Linked DNA regions of Pelodiscus sinensis. The protein of the gene in region 2 interacts with the protein of the main gene of each other region in a pairwise test. Links are inferred from orthologs where the notes say so. Each region holds a gene or a part of one and is shown on either strand. Other genes may lie near its edges.

Region 1 (9,550 bases), on a different chromosome or scaffold from region 2:
TCGGCCGGGGTCTGGGGGGGGGCCCGGCCAGACGGGGCCCTGAGCTCGGCCGGGGTCTGGGGGGGGGGCCCGGCCAGACGGGGCCCTGAGCTCGGCCGGGGGGGGGGGGGCCCGGCCCGACGAGGCTCTGAGCTCAGCTGGGGTCTGGGGGGGGGGGCCCGGCCAGACGAGGCTCTGAGCTCGGCTGGGGTCTGGGGGGGGGGGGCCCGGCCAGACGAGGCTCTGAGCTCGGCCGGGGTCTGGGGGGGGGGCCCGGCCAGACGGGGCCCTGAGCTCGGCCGGGCTCTGGGGGGGGCCCGGCCAGACGGGGCCCTGAGCTCGGCCGGGGTCTGGGGGGGGCCCGGCCAGACGGGGCCCTGAGCTCGGCCGGGGTCTGGGGGGGGCCCCGGCCAGACGGGGCCCTGAGCTCGGCCGGGGTCTGGGGGGGGGGGCCCGGCCAGACGGGGCCCTGAGCTCAGCTGGGGTCTGGGGGGGGGCCCGGCCAGACGGGGCCCTGAGCTCGGCCGGGGTCTGGGGGGGGGGGCCCGGCCAGACGGGGCCCTGAGCTCGGCCGGGGTCTGGGGGGGGGCCCGGCCAGACGGGGCCCTGAGCTCGGCCGGGGTCTGGGGGGGGGGCCCGGCCAGACGGGGCCCTGAGCTCGGCCGGGGTCTGGGGGGGGGCCCGGCCAGACGGGGCCCTGAGCTCGGCCGGGGTCTGGGGGGGGGGCCCGGCCAGACGGGGCCCTGAGCTCAGCTGGGGTCTGGGGGGGGGGCCCGGCCAGACGGGGCCCTGAGCTCGGCCGGGGTCTGGGGGGGGGGCCCGGCCAGACGGGGCCCTGAGCTCGGCCGGGGTCTGGGGGGGGGCCCGGCCAGACGGGGCCCTGAGCTCGGCCGGGGTCTGGGGGGGGGCCCGGCCAGACGGGGCCCTGAGCTCGGCCGGGGTCTGGGGGGGGCCCGGCCAGACGGGGCCCTGAGCTCGGCCGGGGTCTGGGGGGGGCCCGGCCAGACGGGGCCCTGAGCTCGGCCGGGGTCTGGGGGGGGCCCGGCCAGACGGGGCCCTGAGCTCAGCCGGGGTCTGGGGGGGGCCCGACCCGACGGGGCCCTGATGTTGGCTGGGGTCCTGGGGGGGGGGGCCGAGCCCGACGGGGCCCTGAGCTCGGCCGGGGGTCTCTATTCGCCATTGTGGGAGCTGCGGAGGGCAAGATCTGCCAGGAACAGGGAGCTAAGGCTCCGCTCCTTGGGCCTGGCCCCCTCACCTTGATGTCCTGGTCGTTCTCACAGTCCTGGCTGGATTTCTGCACAGGGAGGGACAGCAATAAAAGGAGAATGCAAATAACCAGACGTGTACGAATAACGACACTCAGGGCTGGGACCTCGTGCCAGGACAGGCGGGCACCCCCTCCCCCAATGCCAGGCGCCCTCCTCCAGCCAGGGACAGACACAGACCACGCACACGTACCCAGGCAGACGCGCTCACCTGTTTCTGCTGCTCCTCTTCTTGCTTCAGTTTCTCCACCACGCTCTAGGGGAAGCGAGAGGAACCAGGCTGGAGAGGGAGGCTCAGCGAGACCCGGGTGACCCAGCCGCAGCCCAGCACCCCAAGGCGCAGACACCCGCCCTCCCGCCGTGAGCAGGGACCCCAGAGCCGTGCCTGGCGGTGACGGTGACGGCTGGGGCCCCCCAGCACAGCCCCATGCCCCCACCGCTGAGAACGGAGACCTACCTTCATCACAGGGTCCTGCTGCAGGGCCCGGCGCTCCTCAGGGTCCATGTCTAGGGCAGGAGAGACCCTGGTTACCCCCAGCCTCTCCGCCCAGCCTGCCCCAGCATCTCGCCCCCCGCCCCGGCCCACGGGCTGCGCCCGCACTCACCCTCCAGCTGCTCCCTGCAGAGCACGATGACCTTGCAGACCATGGCGTGGTCGTTGCAGTACCGACCCATCAGCAGCACGGCCTGCTCCACGCTCACCTGCCCATAGAACTTCTCCCGCAGCCGCCGCACGCTCTTCTCCAGCTGCCAGGCGAGCCCACCTTACACAGCCGGCCCCCCCGGCCTCCCGGGGACACTGCAGGGCCCCGCTCAGCCCTGGGAGGGGCTCTGCCCAGGAGCCCGTCTGCTGAGCACAAGGGGGGCCCCGGGGCTGGGCCTGGGTTCATCCGCCCCCCCGCCTGGCCCAGGGAGGTGGCTGTTTCTGGGCCCTTCCCACCTCTCACCTGCCCTGGTATGTGGCGGGAAAGATGCCGCAGGACAGAGCAGATGCCAGCAGGATGGGGGGGCCTGAAACCTCCCTCGGGCTGCCAGCCTGGGCTCACGACTCCCCCCGCGGATCCGCAAGGCGCCTGCTGGCTCTGCCGGCTGGGCCCGTGGTCACAGGCTCCCTGCCCAGGCCAGCGCAGGCCAGAGTCCGAGGGCCCCGGAAGCACCAGCCGGACAACGGCTCCGTCACATGCCAGGAACCAGTGGGCCTTGCGCAAACCCCTGGCTGGGACGGCCGGGGGCCAGACCCACAGGGCTCTTAGCTCGGCCCCGCGGGTCCATTCTGGGGGGCAGGCGCCCTCCAGCCGGGGACTCCCCCAGAGAGCCGGAGCTCTGCGGGCGCCCCACACTGGCCCAGGCAGGGACCGTCCAAAGACGTGGCGGGCGGGCACGTGAGGCTCCAGCAGGGCCGAGCGCCCCCCCATGCTCCCAGCACCGGGGGGCCGGCGGGGAAGGGAGGGAGGGAGGAGGCCAAAGTCCTTGAGCCCTGGCCCAGTGCTGGCTGCTCAGGCCACCCGCTCACCAGTGGGGCCCATGCGCCCGGCTGGGCTCTCAGCGCCCCAGGCGGCTCTAGGCCTGGCAGAGGCGGGGGGGGGGGGCGATGCCCTAGGCAAGTGGGGCAGCCAAGTCCTGCTCCAGGGCTCGTCCCTACCCTCCTGGCGCTGCCCCCCATCTGCCCCATGGCCCCGCCCCGGCACACCCTTCCTCTGCCCCATGGCCCTGCCCCAGCACCCCCCTCTGCCCCATGGAACCTCCCCTCGCCCGCCCCCCTCCTCTGCCTCAGCACCCCCCTCCTCTGCCCCATGGAACCTCCCCTCGCCCGCCCCGCCCCCCTCCTCTGCCTCAGCACCCCCCTCCTCTGCCCCATGGAACCTCCCCTCGCCCGCCCCGCCCCCCTCCTCTGCCTCAGCACCCCCCTCCTCTGCCCCATGGAACCTCCCCTCGCCCGCCCCGCCCCCCTCCTCTGCCCCATGGAACCTCCCCTCGCCCGCCCCGCCCCCTCCTCTGTCTCAGCACCCCCCTCCTCTGCCCCATGGAACCTCCCCTCGCCCGCCCCGCCCCCCTCCTCTGCCCCATGGCCCCTCCCCCCGGCGCACCCCTCTGCCGCGGCGCCCCCCGCCCCGTACCTCCACCGCCGCTCTCCGGTGCTCCATGGCCCCCGGCGCCCGCCCTGCGTCGGCTCCTGCGCCCGGACTCGCTCCGCCCCGCCGGCCGCTTTCGCTTTCGCCCGCCGGGCGGCTCCTCCCCCGGGGCGCAGCGAGCTCCGGGCGCCCCTGGCCCGAGGGGACCGGGGAGGGCGCGGGGCGGGGACGCACCTGGGGAGGCTCCGGCCCCTGCCCCGTCCCAGCGGGCGGGGCTCCCTCGGCAGGGAGCAGGGCGGCCAGGTCCCTCCCTGCTCCGCCAGCACCTCCCGTCCGGGGTCCGTCAGCGCAGGGCCCTGGGGTCTGCCCCGTGATCAGCTGCCTCGAGCCCAGAGCTGCGCCCCACGGGGACAGGGGCAGGGGCAGGGGCAGGGGCCCGGGCGGAGCGGTTTGGCCCTGGGTCGCCCTGCAGTGTTCTCAGACCAGCCAGCTCCCCGGTTCTTTGGGCGCTGGAGGGGCAGCCCCAGTCCCTAGTGCCCGGCCCTTCTCCCGCCGGGCCCATCGCCCCAGGCCTCGGCGCCCTCACTGCAAAGGGCTTCGGCCTTATTGGCAAGCAGGCCAGGCGCAGGGAGCCCCCAGCCCCCAGCCCACAGGGCTCCATGCAGCTGGCCAGGTCCCAGCTGGTGTAAAGGGGTGCAGAGGCGTCGAGGGGCGGCACCTCTTTGTGCCAGGCGGGGGCTGTGTCCCTGACATCCACACGCAGCCCCTGCGGAGCCGGGTTCCTTGTTCCTGCGCCTTGGCAGGAAGGCCCGGCCCAGAAAGGGTGTTGCTCCTGATGGAGCTGGGGCGCTTGGTAGCAGCTGGGGCGCTGGCCTTTGGTTCCCATTCTGACTGGCCGAGGTCGAGTGGAGCCGGTCAGATTAACGGACGTGTTTGTTAGATGCAAACAGAATAAAGTCCAGAGCAGAGAAGATCGCCTCTGTGCCAAGTAAGGCCCAGTTCCACTCAGCCGGAAAAAACACCCTGAACCCAGTTCACTGGGAGAAAGGGTTTACATGGAAAAATTGGGAACATCTTAAGAGCATTTTACTAGATGTCCAAAAATTGAGTCAAGACAGAAAGTCACACTGGTTCAAAACCAACCAAACCCCACCCCTAACTTAAGGGGTAGTGAAAGTGGCTATGAAGAATCATATATAACAAATGGGAGTAAGGAGAAGTTTAGAGTAACAGATAGATATTAGAAGTTAGCAAGTGTAAAACATTGATAAAGGAAGCAAAAGGACACAAGGTAGAAGAACAGGGTTGGAAGAGACCTTAGAAGGTCATTTAGTCCAACACCCTGCTCAAAGCAGAGTCAACCCCAACTAAATTGTCCCAGCCAGGGCTTTGTCAAGTCGGGCATTAAAAACCTCTAGGGATGGAGATTCCACCATGTCCCTCATCAACCCATTCCAGTGCTTTACCGCCTTCCTAGACAATATCTCCTAATAGCCACCTAGACCTCCCCCGTTGCAACTTGAGCCCATTGCTCCTTGTTGTCATCTGCCCCCACTGAGGACAGCCCCTCGCCAGCCTCTGTGGGACCCCCCTTCAGGTAGCTGGAGGCTGCTCTCAAATCCCCCCTCACTCTTCTCTTTGGCAGACTCAATAAGCCCAAATCCCTCAGCCTCAGCTCTAAGGCTGTGTCTACACTGGTGAGTTTTTGCACAAAAACTTGCGGCACGTCCACACTACAAGTGCGTTCTTGTGCAAAAAAAGTACCGTAAATCGTAAGAACACGGGGCTTTTTGCACAAGACTTGCTCCTCTTTCTTTGAATAAGAATCCTGCAGTGTAGACGTAGCCTAGCCCATGTGCTCCAGCTCCTCAGCAGTTTGGTTGCCCTTCTCTGGCTCTCTCCAATGTGCCCGCATCCTTCCTGTAGTGGGGGGCCCAGAACTGCAACACGCCAGCTGTGGCTTCCCCAGAGCCAAATCAAGGGGACTCATCACTTCTCTAGATTGGCTGGCAATGCTCCTAACCCAGCCCAATGTGCGTTAGCCTTCTCGGCTACAAGGGACCCTGTTGACTCACATCCAGTGTCTCCTCCACTCTCCTCCCCAGATCCTTTTCTGCTGAACTTGAGAACTTGCTCCATGATTTCCCCAGGGACTGAGGTGAGACTGACTGGTCTGTAGTTCCCTGGATTCTCTTCCTTCCCTCTTATAAAGATGGGCTCTGCATTGGCCTTTCTCCAGTTTCCCAGGGATTCCCTTGATTGCCACGAGTTTTCAAAGCTAATGGCCAATGGCTCCACATCAGCCAACTCCCTCTGCACCCTCAGCAACGCCGGCCCAGAAGGCATATTTGAAGCGTGTGTGAAAGTAGAAAGAATTATACTGTAAGAGAAAGATGAATTGTACTGTAATAATTGAATAAGTTGAAGGAATTCTGTTTGTCTTTCAAGAGGAAGAAGAAAAGTATGTTAATGTTGATTGTAGGTATGCAGATCAAGGTGCTAGCCAATTTGGGCCTGAGTTTAACAGGAAAAGGAACATTAGGTGTTAGACAGAAAGCAATTCCAGATAATCAGGGAGATATAGCCAGGAGATTGCTGTGTGCTTGATATTGAAATGAAGATACTTAACCACACTAATAATGTGAAGTTTTGTCACCCTTTGATCTTGTTAACTTGGCCTTTTGACTGTATAAAATCAAGGGGTTTGAACCTTGTATGGTGCTCACATTTTCTGAATGCATTTTAGCAGAGCTTTGCTGAAATAAACAGAGCAGTCTGCCAAATCTGTGAGTCCTGTCTGACTTTGACAATTTGGAGGTTCTACCGAGATGGCAACCGTCTTCGCTGAGGCTGTGTGATCCCTGACCGTCTTGCAGGATGACCGTGGGAGCCGGCACCTGGGCATTTGGCCGGAGCGGTCCTCCGCCAGAACGGAAAGGTACACAGCCACAGCGAAGTCTACGCCATCGAACCTGTTGGTTCCCGCTCTGTTCTGGTAGGGATCCCGGGATCTAACATCAGGACTCTGGTCAGGTAATTATTTCTATGTTTTGTCCGGACTGAGGACTGTCTTGTCTCTGTGTCTATCCGTCTTCCCTGTGGTGTGAGTGAGTCTGGGAGCCATCCCTGTCCGGGGACTGGCTGACCAAGGGGGCTCAGGATGCGCAGGGGCTGTGCAGGGGGGGGCCCAGGATGTGCAGGGGGCCCAGGGTGGTCTGGGCACAGGGGCCGTGCAGGGCGCCCAGGGTGGTCTGGGCACAGGGGCCGTGCAGGGGGGCCCAGGATGTGCAGGGGCCATGCAGGGGGGGCCCAGGATGTGCAGGGGCCGTGCAGGGGGGGCCCAGGATGTGCAGGGGCCGTGCAGGGGGGGCCCAGGATGCGCAGGGGCCGTGCAGGGGGGGCTCAGGATGCTCAGGGGCCGTGCAGGGGGGGCCCAGGATGTGCAGGGGGCCCAGGGTGGTCTGGGCACAGGGGCCGTGCAGGGGGGCTCAGGATGCGCAGGGGCCGTGCAGGGGGCCCAGGATGCGCAGGGGCCGTGCAGGGGGGCTCAGGATGCGCAGGGGCTGTGCAGGGGGGGCCCAGGATGCGCAGGGGCCGTGCAGGGGGGGGCCCAGGATGCGCAGGGGCCGTGCAGGGGGGGCCCAGGATGCGCAGGGGCCGTGCAGGGGGCCCAGGATGCGCAGGGGCCGTGCAGGGGGGCCCAGGATGCGCAGGGGGCCGTGCAGGGGGCCCAGGATGCGCAGGGGCCGTGCAGGGGGGGCCCAGGATGCGCAGGGGCCGTGCAGGGGGGGCCCAGGATGCGCAGGGGCCGTGCAGGGGGCCCAGGATGCGCAGGGGCCGTGCAGGGGGGCTCAGGATGCGCAGGGGCTGTGCAGGGGGGGCCCAGGATGTGCAGGGGCCGTGCAGGGGGGCCCCAGGGTGGTCTGGGCGCAGGGGCCGTGCAGGGGGGCTCAGGATGCGCAGGGGCCGTGCAGGGGGGGCCCAGGATGCGCAGGGGGCCGTGCAGGGGGCCCAGGATGCGCAGGGGCCGTGCAGGGGGGGCCCAGGATGTGCAGGGGCCGTGCAGGGGGGGCCCAGGATGCGCAGGGGCCGTGCAGGGGGGGCCCAGGATGTGCAGGGGCCGTGCAGGGGGGGCCCAGGATGCGCAGGGGCCGTGCAGGGGGCCCAGGGTGTGCAGGGGCCGTGCAGGGGGCCCAGGATGCGCAGGGGCCGTGCAGGGGGCCCAGGATGCGCAGGGGCCGTGCAGGGGGGGCCCAGGATGCGCAGGGGCCGTGCAGGGGGCCAGGATGCGCAGGGGCCGTGCAGGGGGGGCCCAGGATGCGCAGGGGCCGTGCAGGGGGGGCCCAGGATGCGCAGGGGCCGTGCAGGGGGCCCAGGATGCGCAGGGGCCGTGCAGGGGGGGCCCAGGATGTGCAGGGGCCATGCAGAGGGCCCAGGATGCGCAGGGGCCGTGCAGGGGGGGCCCAGGATGCGCAGGGGCCGTGCAGGGGGGGGCCCAGGATGCGCAGGGGCCGTGCAGGGGGGGCCCAGGATGCGCAGGGGCCGTGCAGGGGGGCCCAGGATGCGCAGGGGCCGTGCAGGGGGGGCCCAGGATGTGCAGGGGCCGTGCAGGGGGCCCAGGATGCGCAGGGGCCGTGCAGGGGGGGCCCAGGATGCGCAGGGGCCGTGCAGGGGGCCCAGGATGCGCAGGGGCCGTGCAGGGGGGGGCCCAGGATGCGCAGGGGCCGTGCAGGGGGGCCCAGGATGCGCAGGGGCCGTGCAGGGGGCCCAGGATGCGCAGGGGCCGTGCAGGGGGCCCAGGATGCGCAGGGGCCGTGCAGGGGGCCCAGGATGCGCAGGGGCCGTGCAGGGGGCCCAGGATGCGCAGGGGCTGTGCAGGGGGGGCCCAGGATGCGCAGGGGCCGTGCAGGGGGCCCAGGATGCGCAGGGGCCGTGCAGGGGGGGCCCAGGATGTGCAGGGGCCGTGCAGGGGGGGCCCAGGATGCGCAGGGGCCGTGCAGGGGGGGCCCAGGATGCGCAGGGGCCGTGCAGGAGGCCCAGGATGCGCAGGGGCCGTGCAGGGGGGCCCAGGATGCGCAGGGGCCGTGCAGGGGGCCCAGGATGCGCAGGGGCCGTGCAGGAGGCCCAGGATGCGCAGGGGCCGTGCAGGGGGCCCAGGATGCGCAGGGGCCGTGCAGGGGGGGCCCAGGATGCGCAGGGGCCGTGCAGGGGGCCCAGGATGCGCAGGGGCCGTGCAGGGGGGGGCCCAGGATGCGCAGGGGCCGTTGCAGGGGGCCCAGGATGTGCAGGGGCCGTGCAGGGGGGGCCCAGGATGCGCAGGGGCCGTGCAGGGGGCCCAGGATGCGCAGGGGCCGTGCAGGGGGCCCAGGATGCGCAGGGGCCGTGCAGGGGGCCCAGGGTGTGCAGGGCCGTGCAGGGGGCCCAGGATGCGCAGGGGCCGTGCAGGGGGGCCCAGGGTGTGCAGGGGGCCGTGCAGGGGGCCCAGGATGCGCAGGGCCGTGCAGGGGGCCCAGGGTGTGCAGGGCCGTGCAGGGGGGCCCAGGATGCGCAGGGGCCGTGCAGGGGGCCCAGGATGCGCAGGGGCCGTGCAGGGGGGGCCCAGGATGCGCAGGGGCCGTGCAGGGGGCCCAGGGTGCGCAGGGGCCGTGCAGGGGGGCCCAGGATGCGCAGGGGCCGTGCAGGGGGGGCCCAGGATGCGCAGGGGCCGTGCAGGGGGGGCCCAGGATGCGCAGGGGCCGTGCAGGGGGGCCCAGGATGCGCAGGGGCCGTGCAGGGGGGGCCCAGGATGCGCAGGGGCCGTGCAGGGGGCCCAGGGTGCGCAGGGGCCGTGCAGGGGGGCCCAGGATGCGCAGGGGCCGTGCAGGGGGGGCCCAGGATGCGCAGGGGCCGTGCAGGGGGCCCAGGATGCGCAGGGGCCGTGCAGGAGGCCCAGGATGCGCAGGGGCCGTGCAGGGGGCCCAGGATGCGCAGGGGCCGTGCAGGGGGGGCCCAGGATGCGCAGGGGCCGTGCAGGGGGCCCAGGATGCGCAGGGGCCGTGCAGGGGGCCCAGGATGCGCAGGGGCCGTGCAGGGGGCCCAGGATGCGCAGGGGCCGTGCAGGGGGGGCCCAGGATGCGCAGGGGCCGTGCAGGGGGCCCAGGATGCGCAGGGGCCGTGCAGGGGGCCCAGGATGCGCAGGGGCCGTGCAGGGGGCCCAGGGTGGTCTGGGGGAGCGTCGTGGGGACCAGCGATGTC
Region 2 (10,191 bases):
GATTTACAAGATGTTCACTGACAGTAGATGTCGTTTGAATCCTAAAGCATCAACAAAATGTTGCTCTTGAGAAATTGCACACAACAGAATGTGTCTTTACCACTCCACCATGCTTCCAAATGAGACTGACAGAGAGGGATATAGAAGTTGGGCATGCAGCACTTAGGCTTTGTCTACACTTAAAAGTTTAAAGCACAGATATAGCTGGCGTTCCAGCGCTGACCAGCCTGTGTTGCAGAAGGGAGAGGGGAGCAGGCCCAATCAAAGCAAGCCACAGGCTGGATTGGGCCTGTGGGCTCTGCCGGGCAGAGACAAGGAAGCAGCTCTGCATGCTGCAGGAAAGCACTGCCTGCAATGCACAGAGCCACACAGACCCCTTTTCACCCACCCTAGGAGCTGCAACATGTAGACATCCACATCCCTTCCCCCCCCCCCCCGCCGCGCCGCGCCCAGACCATGAACCCCCAGCCTGTTCCTGCATCCTTCCTCCAAGACCCCATACCCCTCACCCTGTTCCTGCAACCCTTCCCATCTAGACCCTGCAACCCTACCCCCAGCCCATTCCTGCACCCTCCCTCCTAGACCCTGCACCCACACCACCACTCCTTGGTAGCCTCCTCCTGCACACTGAATCCCTAATTTTTGGCCCCACCCAGAGCCTGGGGGTAGGTGGGCTTACAGAATCCACTAGCCCAGGAACGCCAGAAGAATTAATCCAGTCCTGGCACCTCCCCCACTCCTTCCCGTGGGCTGCGGCTAAGAGTGAAGGGAGTATATTTTTTCCTGCTTCCCAGATGGGCCAGGTCAATGAGGGTTGCCGGGTTTTTTTTGCTTTGTTTTGGTTTTTTTTTGGGGGGGGGGAGGGGGATTGCTTTTCTTTTTTTCTTGCTTCTCACTTGCGTGGATCAGTTCTCATGTCCCACCACCCTGTGTTAGCAGATTCTCATGAACACTTGTCCCAGAAAAACTTGTGTCTTTCAGGGCAAAGAGGGGGTGAGGTTAACGCCTCAATTTTTTTCAAGTGTAGACACAGCTTAATTCCCAAAGTAATTAAAATACTGCGTTTGAACACAGTTTACAAGGACCCTCCCCCTACACAGACTATGAACCCCCAAATGCCTGCAAACTCTCTCCATGTGTCCTCACTCCACATGCATCCCCACTGCCCCAGCAGGAGTAGGCATATTCCTCCTGCCTGCAAATTCCCCTCCCCCATGCACACATTTCTCCCAAGTTGTCATCACATATGAACTCCCTCTAACCACCTGCAAATTCCCCAAGAGCACAAGCGCAACTGCACCAATTGCAAACATCTCGCTGTTTGCATGCATGTCCCCATCACCATCTATAATTTTTCCATATATGTACCCACTTTCCCCTGCTTCCACCACCTGCCCCCAAATGTACACGGGCACATATCTCTAACCCTCACTACCTACAATCTCTCCTATATGTATGCAATTCCATCAGCACCTACCTTCTGCAAACTCCCTCAGTATGTATACGTGAACATCATCCCAATCACAATCATCTGCAATTTCCCCCAAATGTATGCAGGCTCATCCCTCCCAAGCCTCCACAACCTGCAATCTCCCCATAATCACACCTGCCGCAAATTCCTCCTCCCCATGTGCACATGCATGTTCCTCCCACTCTCCTACTGTCTACAAACTGCACCCATAGCATGGACATGTGCACCTCCCCCAACCTTCAAACTCCCTTGCTCCACCTAGGGCATGCATGGGTGCCTCCTACCACCCACAAACTCCTCAGCACCTCCCCTTACTGCCTGCCAATTTGCTCCCTTTAGTGTGTATCACCCCAAATGTCTGTCAACTCCCCCCTGTGAATGTGCAAGCATCCCCTGCCATCTACTAACCCGATCACCGGTGGGTACACGACTGTGTCCCCTTGCTATATACCACCCTCCCCCCATACAGAAGCATCCCCATGAGCTTCTTCCAACTCCCGCTCGCGCTCTCTCTCTCTCTCTCTGTGTCCTCCTAACCCCTGCCATCTGATATTCCTCCCCCTCCCCCAGTATATGCACAAGCATTCCCTCAGCCATTTGTGTATGATGTGCAGAGTGTTCCCCAAAAGGCCACCCAATAAAGATTCAGAGCCACCCAACTGATTAGTAGAGTGTCCACATCCAGCAGCATGTGTAGCTAATGGTGGTGCACATCTATAGAGCAACATTAATTCCACACACGAATGGGGAAAAAAACACTGGGAATACTGGATGTGCTCCTCCAAGAGCGTTCTGGAATCTCCAGGAATTAAATCTTTAATGAAACATTGTCATGTGATGAAATCTCCAGGAATACATCCAACCAAAACTGGCAAGCAGCAGGTGCATGTAAGAGCACCACCCCAACTGCATGTTCCTCCAGTATGCACAAGTGCTGGAACTAGGCAAGCTTTTACACCCCTTGGCTTGAAATGCTTTCCAATGTATATGTTTACAGTTTGGTTACTGGCTTTCAGCACACCCAATATATACATTGTTCCAGCACCCGTGCCCATGTCTGTGCAAATGGACCCTCTACCAACTGCCCCCTCAGGTATGCACAAGTGTCCCCCCCCCATGCCCATTTCCCCCATCTCACGTGCACAAACATTCCTCCACCCCTCTGACTGCTCCCAGGTATGTGCTAGGGTCTCCCCTTTCCGTCCCTCCCCAACTCCACCCTGTGTGCGTTAGAGTCTCTCCCCCCCCCACCATCACCTCATCCCCTGGGTGTGTGTCAGTGTAACACACCCATGGCAGTTACATAAACATTCCTCCATCCTACTCCCCACCAGTTCCCCCTCCCGTGTGTGCGCGAGTCCCCCCCCCGCCAGCTCCCCCTCCCGTGTGTGTGCGCGAGTCCCCCCCGCGCCAGCTCCCCCTCCCGTGTGTGTGCGAGTCCCCCCCCGCCAGCTCCCCCTCCCGTGTGTGCGCGAGTCCCCCCCGCCAGCTCCCCCTCCCGTGTGTGTGCGAGTCCCCCCCGCCAGCTCCCCCTCCCGTGTGTGCGCGAGTCCCCCCGCCAGCTCCCCCTCCCGTGTGTGCGCGAGTCCCCCCCGCCAGCTCCCCCTCCCGTGTGTGCGCGAGTCCCCCCCCCGCCAGCTCCCCCTCCCGTGTGTGCGCGAGTCCCCCCCCGCCAGCTCCCCCTCCCGTGTGTGCGCGAGTCCCCCCCCGCCAGCTCCCCCTCCCGTGTGTGCGCGAGTCCCCCCCCGCCAGCTCCCCCTCCCGTGTGTGTGCGAGTCCCCCCCCGCCAGCTCCCCCTCCCGTGTGTGCGAGTCCCCCCCGCCAACTCCCCCTCCGAGTGTGCCCGACCCCCGTCCTCCCGTGTATGCTCAAGTTCCCCCCCAATTCTCTCGCCCACCTGTGCGCAAGTCCCCCCCCCCCCCGGCCAAACGTCTCCTCCCGTGTGTATCGAAGTCACCCCCGCGAGTCCCCCCGCCCGTGTGTGCCGGGTCCCCCCTCCCTCTGCGTGCGCCCGCCAGCGCCGTTCTCCGCTCGCAGCCCCGCGGCTCCTAGCGCGGCGGGCGGCTCAGCGAGGCGAACGGCGCCAGGCAGAGGCCCCAACGCCTCAACTCGAGCAGCCCAGGGCCGGGCGCGGACTCAACTCACCCGCATGGCACCACCTGCTGCTGCTGCCGCCGTGGAGGGGGCGGGGGAGGCAGTCGACTCCCGAGCGAGCCCAGCAGCCCCGCCGCACTCAGTCCAGCCCTGCTCGGGCCCCGCAGGGTTAATCGCCCCGCCCCCTCACGGCACGGCGCTGCTCCCATTGGCCGGGCTGTTGCTAGGACACCTTCAACAAGCGCCTGTGCCCAGGGGCCAGAGAGCCGCAGCACCCACCTCCTCTTCCTCCGCCGCCTGGGGGCCCTTCGCGGCGCTCGGGCCGGGGCCGCTCGGGAACTTGCGCCGGGACACGCCTGCGAAGGGGGCTGGGCTGCGCGAGTGGCTCGTGGGCTTCTGCGCGCGGCCCGGCTGTCCCTGCAGCGGCTCGTCAGCAACCGGGAACCGCTGCTGCCTTGCGCCGCGTAGCCAAACGGGCGGATGCGGGAGGCAACGGCCGCTTCGCCAGGCTGGGGGAAGCGGGGGGGCTCAATGGGACTGGAGGGGGAGGTGCGGGTCTCCCTCCTCGGGCGGAAAGAAACGTTGCTTCGCCAGCCAGGGAGGGGGCGCTGTACCCCGCCTTTCGAACCCGGGTCTGCTCCCCCTAGTCCCTCCCCCCCACCCCCCAGAGAGACCTTAACTGCAACACTTACGGGTGCCAGGTAGAGTCAGAAATACCGGACACACTTGACATTACGGCACAATCTACCTTACATCTTATTTAGAAACTACCGGACATGGATATTTTCTCAATGGCTGTGTCTACACTGGCATGAATTTCCGGAACTGCTTAAAACAGAATAGTTTTCGTTATAAGTATTTCCGGAAAAGGAGCGTCTACATTGGCAGGCTGCTTTTCTGGAAAAGCCCTTTTTCCGGAAAAGCATCCGTGGCCAATGTAGACGCGCTTTTCCGGAAAAGAGCCCCGAGCGTCATTTTCGCGATCGGGGCTTTTTTCCAGAAAAGACTACTGGGCTGTCTACACTGGCCCTTTTCCGGAACAGTGTTCTGGAATAAGGACTTATGCCCGAGCGGGAGCAGAATAGTTTTTCCGGAATAGCGGCTGATTTTGTACAGTAGAGCATCGTTGCTTTTCCGGAAATTCAAGGGCCAGTGTAGACAGCTCGCAGCTTATTCTGGAAAAGCGGCTGATTTTCCAGAATAAGTGGCCCAGTGTAGACACAGCCAATTTGTTTCCTGAACAGAAAGCTCAAATACTGGATTGTCCAGTTAAAAATCAGACACCTGGCAACCCTGAGTGTGACTTCTAAAAGGCAGGTGAGAGCAGCCACAGCCTTTGCTGCAGGGAGTTTGTTTATAAAGAGGCAAAGGTGATTAAGATAACAAAAGGCTCATGAGATCTCAAAAGCACTGCCTGATACTCTAATCAAAAGAGAGCCCGCCCTTTGTTTCCTAAGGGGTAGTAGAGGCAGAGTTTGATAAGGGCTAGATCTACTTAATACTTAAGCTTTTTAGAAATAAAATAAAAACCCTTATTTTAAAAAATCAAGGCATAAAAAGAGTTGAGTGCTAATCAGTTTATTACACCCAATGTATGATTGATTACCAGCCTGCAGGTGGTGTATGCGTGATACCGTGCAAGGAACACCTAGCCCTAAATGATGGTGTACTAACTTTGCTAGTTTCCCAGGCTGATCAAAGGCACTGGCCCCTTGCCCCTACTGTCCAGGATATTTTGAGGGTCACATATCCTCTTATCCCCCTTCACACATCATCCCTGCTCATCAGTGCCAAATACAGTGGAACACTTATGTTCCATATCTTACATACTAGAAGATTTACCCAGCATTGTTTGGGTCCTTAAGTGAGTTTTGCTCTTCATTTAAATTGCTATTGGGAGTGGGCTGGGGGATGAAGGGTTCAGTATGCTGGCTGCCCTGGGGAGAGAGGACGATCCCAGCCCTCCGTCACCACAGCAACTTGCAGCCAAGTGAGAAGCATTTGTCCGTGGCCCCTGCAGCTGCAGCAGACAAAGTTGGAGGATGGATCCATGTCCACTGGCTGGGGGACAGACAAATAGAAACACAGACAAGCTCTATGAGATAGATAGATTAGATAGATATAGTACAGGGGTCGGCAACCTACAGCACGTGTGCCATTTATGGCTTGCAAGCCAATTTTCAGCAGCAGCACAGAGGAGGAAGCTCAGCCTCCCCCAGCCCAGCACAGCCACTGGCGAACACTCCCTTCTGCCTGCAGCAGGTTATGCTGCAGTGGGAGGAAGCAGGGCTGAGGCTCCTCAGTGGCCCCTCAGCCAGAACCAGAGGTGCTTCTGTTGTGGCCATGCGGTCCAGGGTCAATCCAGAATTGTATGGAAGCAGCGCCTCCGGCCTCTGGGGCCGGCCCCAAACCATGTGGCCACAGCAGCAGGGTCTCTGGAGCCAGCCCCAGACCATGTGGCCACAACAATAGGGCCTCTGGGGTTGGCCCTGCACCACATGGGCCCTGGCAGTGACAGCCGGGCCTTCCTTCGGAGTGGCCTGGGATAGTATGGCCACAGCCATTGCTGCACGGAGGTGCAAAGCCGGGTAAGGGGTCCCCTCATGCCCAGACCCCACCCACACTCACTCCCCTCAAAACGCTGTACCCCTGAGTTGTTCCGACTCCCTCCCTTGTTCCTGCACCCTCCCTCCTGGGCAGGCACTCCCACCCTGTTGCTGCTGCACCCACCGTTGCTGCTGCACCCTCCCTTGTTCCTGCTCCCTCCACCTGGCCAGACACCCTACTCCCAGCCTGCTTCTGTACCCTACCTCCCACTCAGACCTTGCAACCTCTCCACCTTCTGTACCCTACCTCCCAGATCCTGCACCCATCCCTATCCTACTTGCTGGTAGCCCTGTCTCATACACTGTACCTCTCATTTTTGTCTTTACCCCAGAGTCTAAGGGGGTCCCTAAAATCCACTAACTCCAGAACCACCGAAAAGTAAATCTGGTCTATGGGAAGCCCTGAATCTCAGTCCCCCTATCCCTTCCCTTCCCCTCGCCCCGTGAGGCTGGGGCACTAGCCAGTGAGGTGTCTCAGTTGGGGGCCACATCAGTGAGGGTTGGGGGGTTTTGAAGGAGGTTTTTTTTTGCTTCTCATTTGTGTGGTCCCCAACTGATTTTTCTGTGGGTCAGTAACCCCTGACCCAAAAATGGTTCCCCACTCCCGCCATAAATAAAGAAAACATAGAAACCTTTTGTGTTGGACATAATATTTTACTTTATTTAAAATGAAGTTTGATAAGCTTAATATGAGAAAGTTAAAATGCTTAATTGTTTCATAATTTCATTCTCCCTAGCTGCAACTGGTTCAGAAAATATAGTCACTGTACCCAGCCTCCCCCCCTCCCGGGCACACAGATCTGTGAATAAGCTAAATTTTGATACACCGCTTCTGAAAGGTTGCCAATCCCAGCACTAAAAGGTAAGATCTGTATCTTTCTTTATTAATGAAACTGCTACAAGTAGCACTATCAATGACTTAAAAAAGTATCACCAGCACTCGGACCGTACATAGAGGTGAATAAGTCAAATCTCAGCACTTCACCTCTGAAAGGTTGCTGACCCCTGATATAGTAGCTAGCTGTCCCTTTCGCCACCTTCCACCCTGCTGGCTCAATGGGGTTATAGCTGTCCCGGTCCCCATCTCTGGCCCCTTGTTGCCCCTGTCCGTGGTATAGCTCCCTCCTACTAGACACCTCTTGTTCCATTTTATGAGAAACAATCAAATTCCAGGCTCTTCCCATTGTTTTTTCACAAACGAATCCTTACCTTTTTCTTTAAGTTATGATAAGAGGAAGCTGCACACCAAAATTGGTGGTCCTAGCTCTTACCGTTTAGAAGGAGTTCTTGAACTAACAGCTTTTCTAAAATATATAGTAAAAAGAAGACACTGTTGTTAATACTATAGAAGAATATTAGACTTTTTCTCACCTGCAACATGTTATTGACTCATATGCAGGTTGTGATCCTGTCAATAACCTACCAATTCATTTCAGCAGTATTACCACCAACACAGTTATTCCTCATTCCTGCATTTAATTTTTCCTAAGTATTTTGCACTTGTCTTATTGAATTTCATCATGTGATTTCAGGCCAATTCTTCTAATCCTGTCTTCAAAAATCCTAGCACCTCCTCTCACTCTGAGGCTATGTCTACACTGTGCATTTTTTGCGGAACAGAGAATGCAAATTGAGTGCTCATTTGCATATCTTGTGCTCATTTGCATATCCTCTTCTGATCCTTTTTGCGGAAGAGGTTTTTGCAATAAAAAGCCCTGTGTAGACGGGGCCATTTGTCGGGGGGGAAAAAACCCTTTTGTGCACAAGCCCTTATTCCTCAAAAAATGAGGTATACAGGCTCTTGTGCAAAAGGGTTTCCCCCCCTCCCCCCCCCCCAAACAAATGGCCCTGTCTACACAGGGCTTTTTATCACAAAAACCTCTTCTGCAAAAAGGATCTGCAGAGAATATGCAAATGAGATCATGAGATATGCAAATGAGCACCCCATTTGCATTTCCTCTTCCGCAAAACAGGTACGGTGTAGACATAGCCTAAGTGTCATCTGCAAATTTTATGAAGATACTGTCCACTCTATTATCTATGCCATTAATGAAATATATTGAATAATGCTGGACCAGGGACAGATGCTTGCAGGAACCCATTATCTATCTGCACTCAGTACATCAGCAAACCATTAATATTTTTTGAGTGTGGTCTTTCAACCAGTTTTTTGTCCACTTTATAGTAATTTCATCTAGACCACATTTTTCAAGTTTACTTATGCAAATGTCGTGGAACTAAGTCAAACCTCACTACAATCAAAATATATCATATCTACATCTTCCATTAGGCCTGTAAATGAAGGAAGGAAAGGAAGGAAATTAGGTTGATTTGGCATGATTTGTTCTTGACTAATCTAGAATGACTATGCAATCAATACAATAGGAGAGAGTTCAAATCAAAGACACTTTTTCTATTCCCATGTACTATCATTCAATCCTATGTTACCAATATACTTGCAGGCTACATATGGTTCACAAGTTGTTCTTTGTCCACACCTGACCTAAATGTGATTGACCCAAAATTTTATCTTCTTTAACACTGTCCTAATCTAATGTAATACCAAATATATATTTTTTTAATTTACGCTTCTGTTTAAGTACAATAGTGATAGCTATCCTCTCGTCTCTTAAGAGTTATTTCAGCAATTTGGTTATAAAAACAAGCATTCCCAAATCAGATCATTGGTCCAGCTATTCTAGTATCCTGCTTGCAGCTGGGACCCTACTATGTCAGAAGAAGCTGTAATTTACCTAAAATGTATCTTACCAGCTGTGCAGTGCTGTACATAGCAGAGAAAGGCATTCCTTCCAGGCTTCATTTTATATCTTGTATCCTGAAGCACATTTTGGTTACCTTTGTTGTCATAGCTTGCAAAACTAAAATGCTGATAATTATAGAACTCAACCCACAGTATTTGAGAAGGACTTAATCTATCAAAGATATTTTGTAAGATAATTCTTTTGATATCTAAGAACTTTGAATTCTATACCATGTGCATTCAGTAATATCTCAGTTCTTAATTTTATTTATACTAAATTTGCTGATCTTTAATTTCATTTGAAGTCTCTTGTTCTCATACTTTTGAGCAGAGAACAAGAGGAACTAATCAGTAATATGGCCCTTATTTTAAATACTTCATTTATCTTCTCTTGAATTCTTTCCAGGTTGAATAATCCTCATTTTTATACTTTATTTTACATAAATCTTGTGATAGCCTCTAATAATCTTTGATATATTTTTCATGATTCTGCACTAGTTTTCTGAAGTTGAGATGACCAAAACTAGACACTAATTCGGTGAAGAAACATATAATTTTCTCTCTCTTTTTAACACACCCAACTTTTCTTTTTTCAGATATCTTCATTTCTAGTTACTCTTAAACTGTCTTTGGCAATGTTTCTTCTACCCTTAACCTATATTGACTGTGTTCAGTACCCTCTTTATGTATGGCTTTTGGGGAAAGTATTTCTGTCCAAGAATCCAACACAAATTGTCACTGACTCAAAAAGCAAAAACAAAACAAAAACAAAACAAAACATAGAAATCATTTGATGGGGAGGAATCTAACCAGTCAAAAACTAGTTTACAAGAGCACAGGTGGGTACTGCAGGAGTGAATTTTGAGAGGAAAAAAATAAACTTAATATGTGGTGTACAGGATTAATCATACCACTAGGAACACTTTAGTATCAAAGATGTGAAAGCAACATCATGCAGTACAACTGAAAAGGTTAACATGGAGTAGCTTATGCTACTTTGTTGGCAACGTCCTCTTTACATTAGGGGTTATTCTCTGAGTTTAGCAAACTGATTATTTTTCTGTGTTTCTAATGTGAGGAAGGCAACATGCTTCTTTTATACATTTGCATTTTTAGCAACGATCTGCACAATGCTGGAGATGATTTATTCAGAGAAGGCAGGGTGAGGCTCCACAGTCAGGAAGGAAGGAATCCCTCAAGAAAAGGAGTCTTCTTGGCTTTCCTGCCAGAGATTTAGCTGTACTACACTTCATCACATC

Evidence for each region.
Region 1: the proteins of SSX2IP (region 2) and SHFL interact in binary tests that used the Homo sapiens proteins (3 or more experiments, as listed by UniProt). The two-hybrid records come from large-scale screens. The link is inferred for Pelodiscus sinensis from reciprocal best matches to the Homo sapiens genes SSX2IP and SHFL.

Annotation. Positions count from the first base shown.
Region 1 is NC_134729.1:14,961,836-14,971,385, reverse strand, and holds the start of SHFL (shiftless antiviral inhibitor of ribosomal frameshifting protein), read right to left. Parts: upstream 3,698-9,550; 5' UTR 3,389-3,697; coding exon 3,362-3,388; intron 1,992-3,361; coding exon 1,850-1,991; intron 1,752-1,849; coding exon 1,702-1,751; intron 1,501-1,701; coding exon 1,456-1,500; intron 1,274-1,455; coding exon 1,235-1,273; intron 1-1,234.
Region 2 is NC_134719.1:29,850,440-29,860,630, forward strand, and holds the start of SSX2IP (afadin- and alpha-actinin-binding protein), read right to left. Parts: upstream 3,775-10,191; 5' UTR 3,617-3,774; intron 1-3,616. UniProt on the Homo sapiens protein: Belongs to an adhesion system, which plays a role in the organization of homotypic, interneuronal and heterotypic cell-cell adherens junctions (AJs).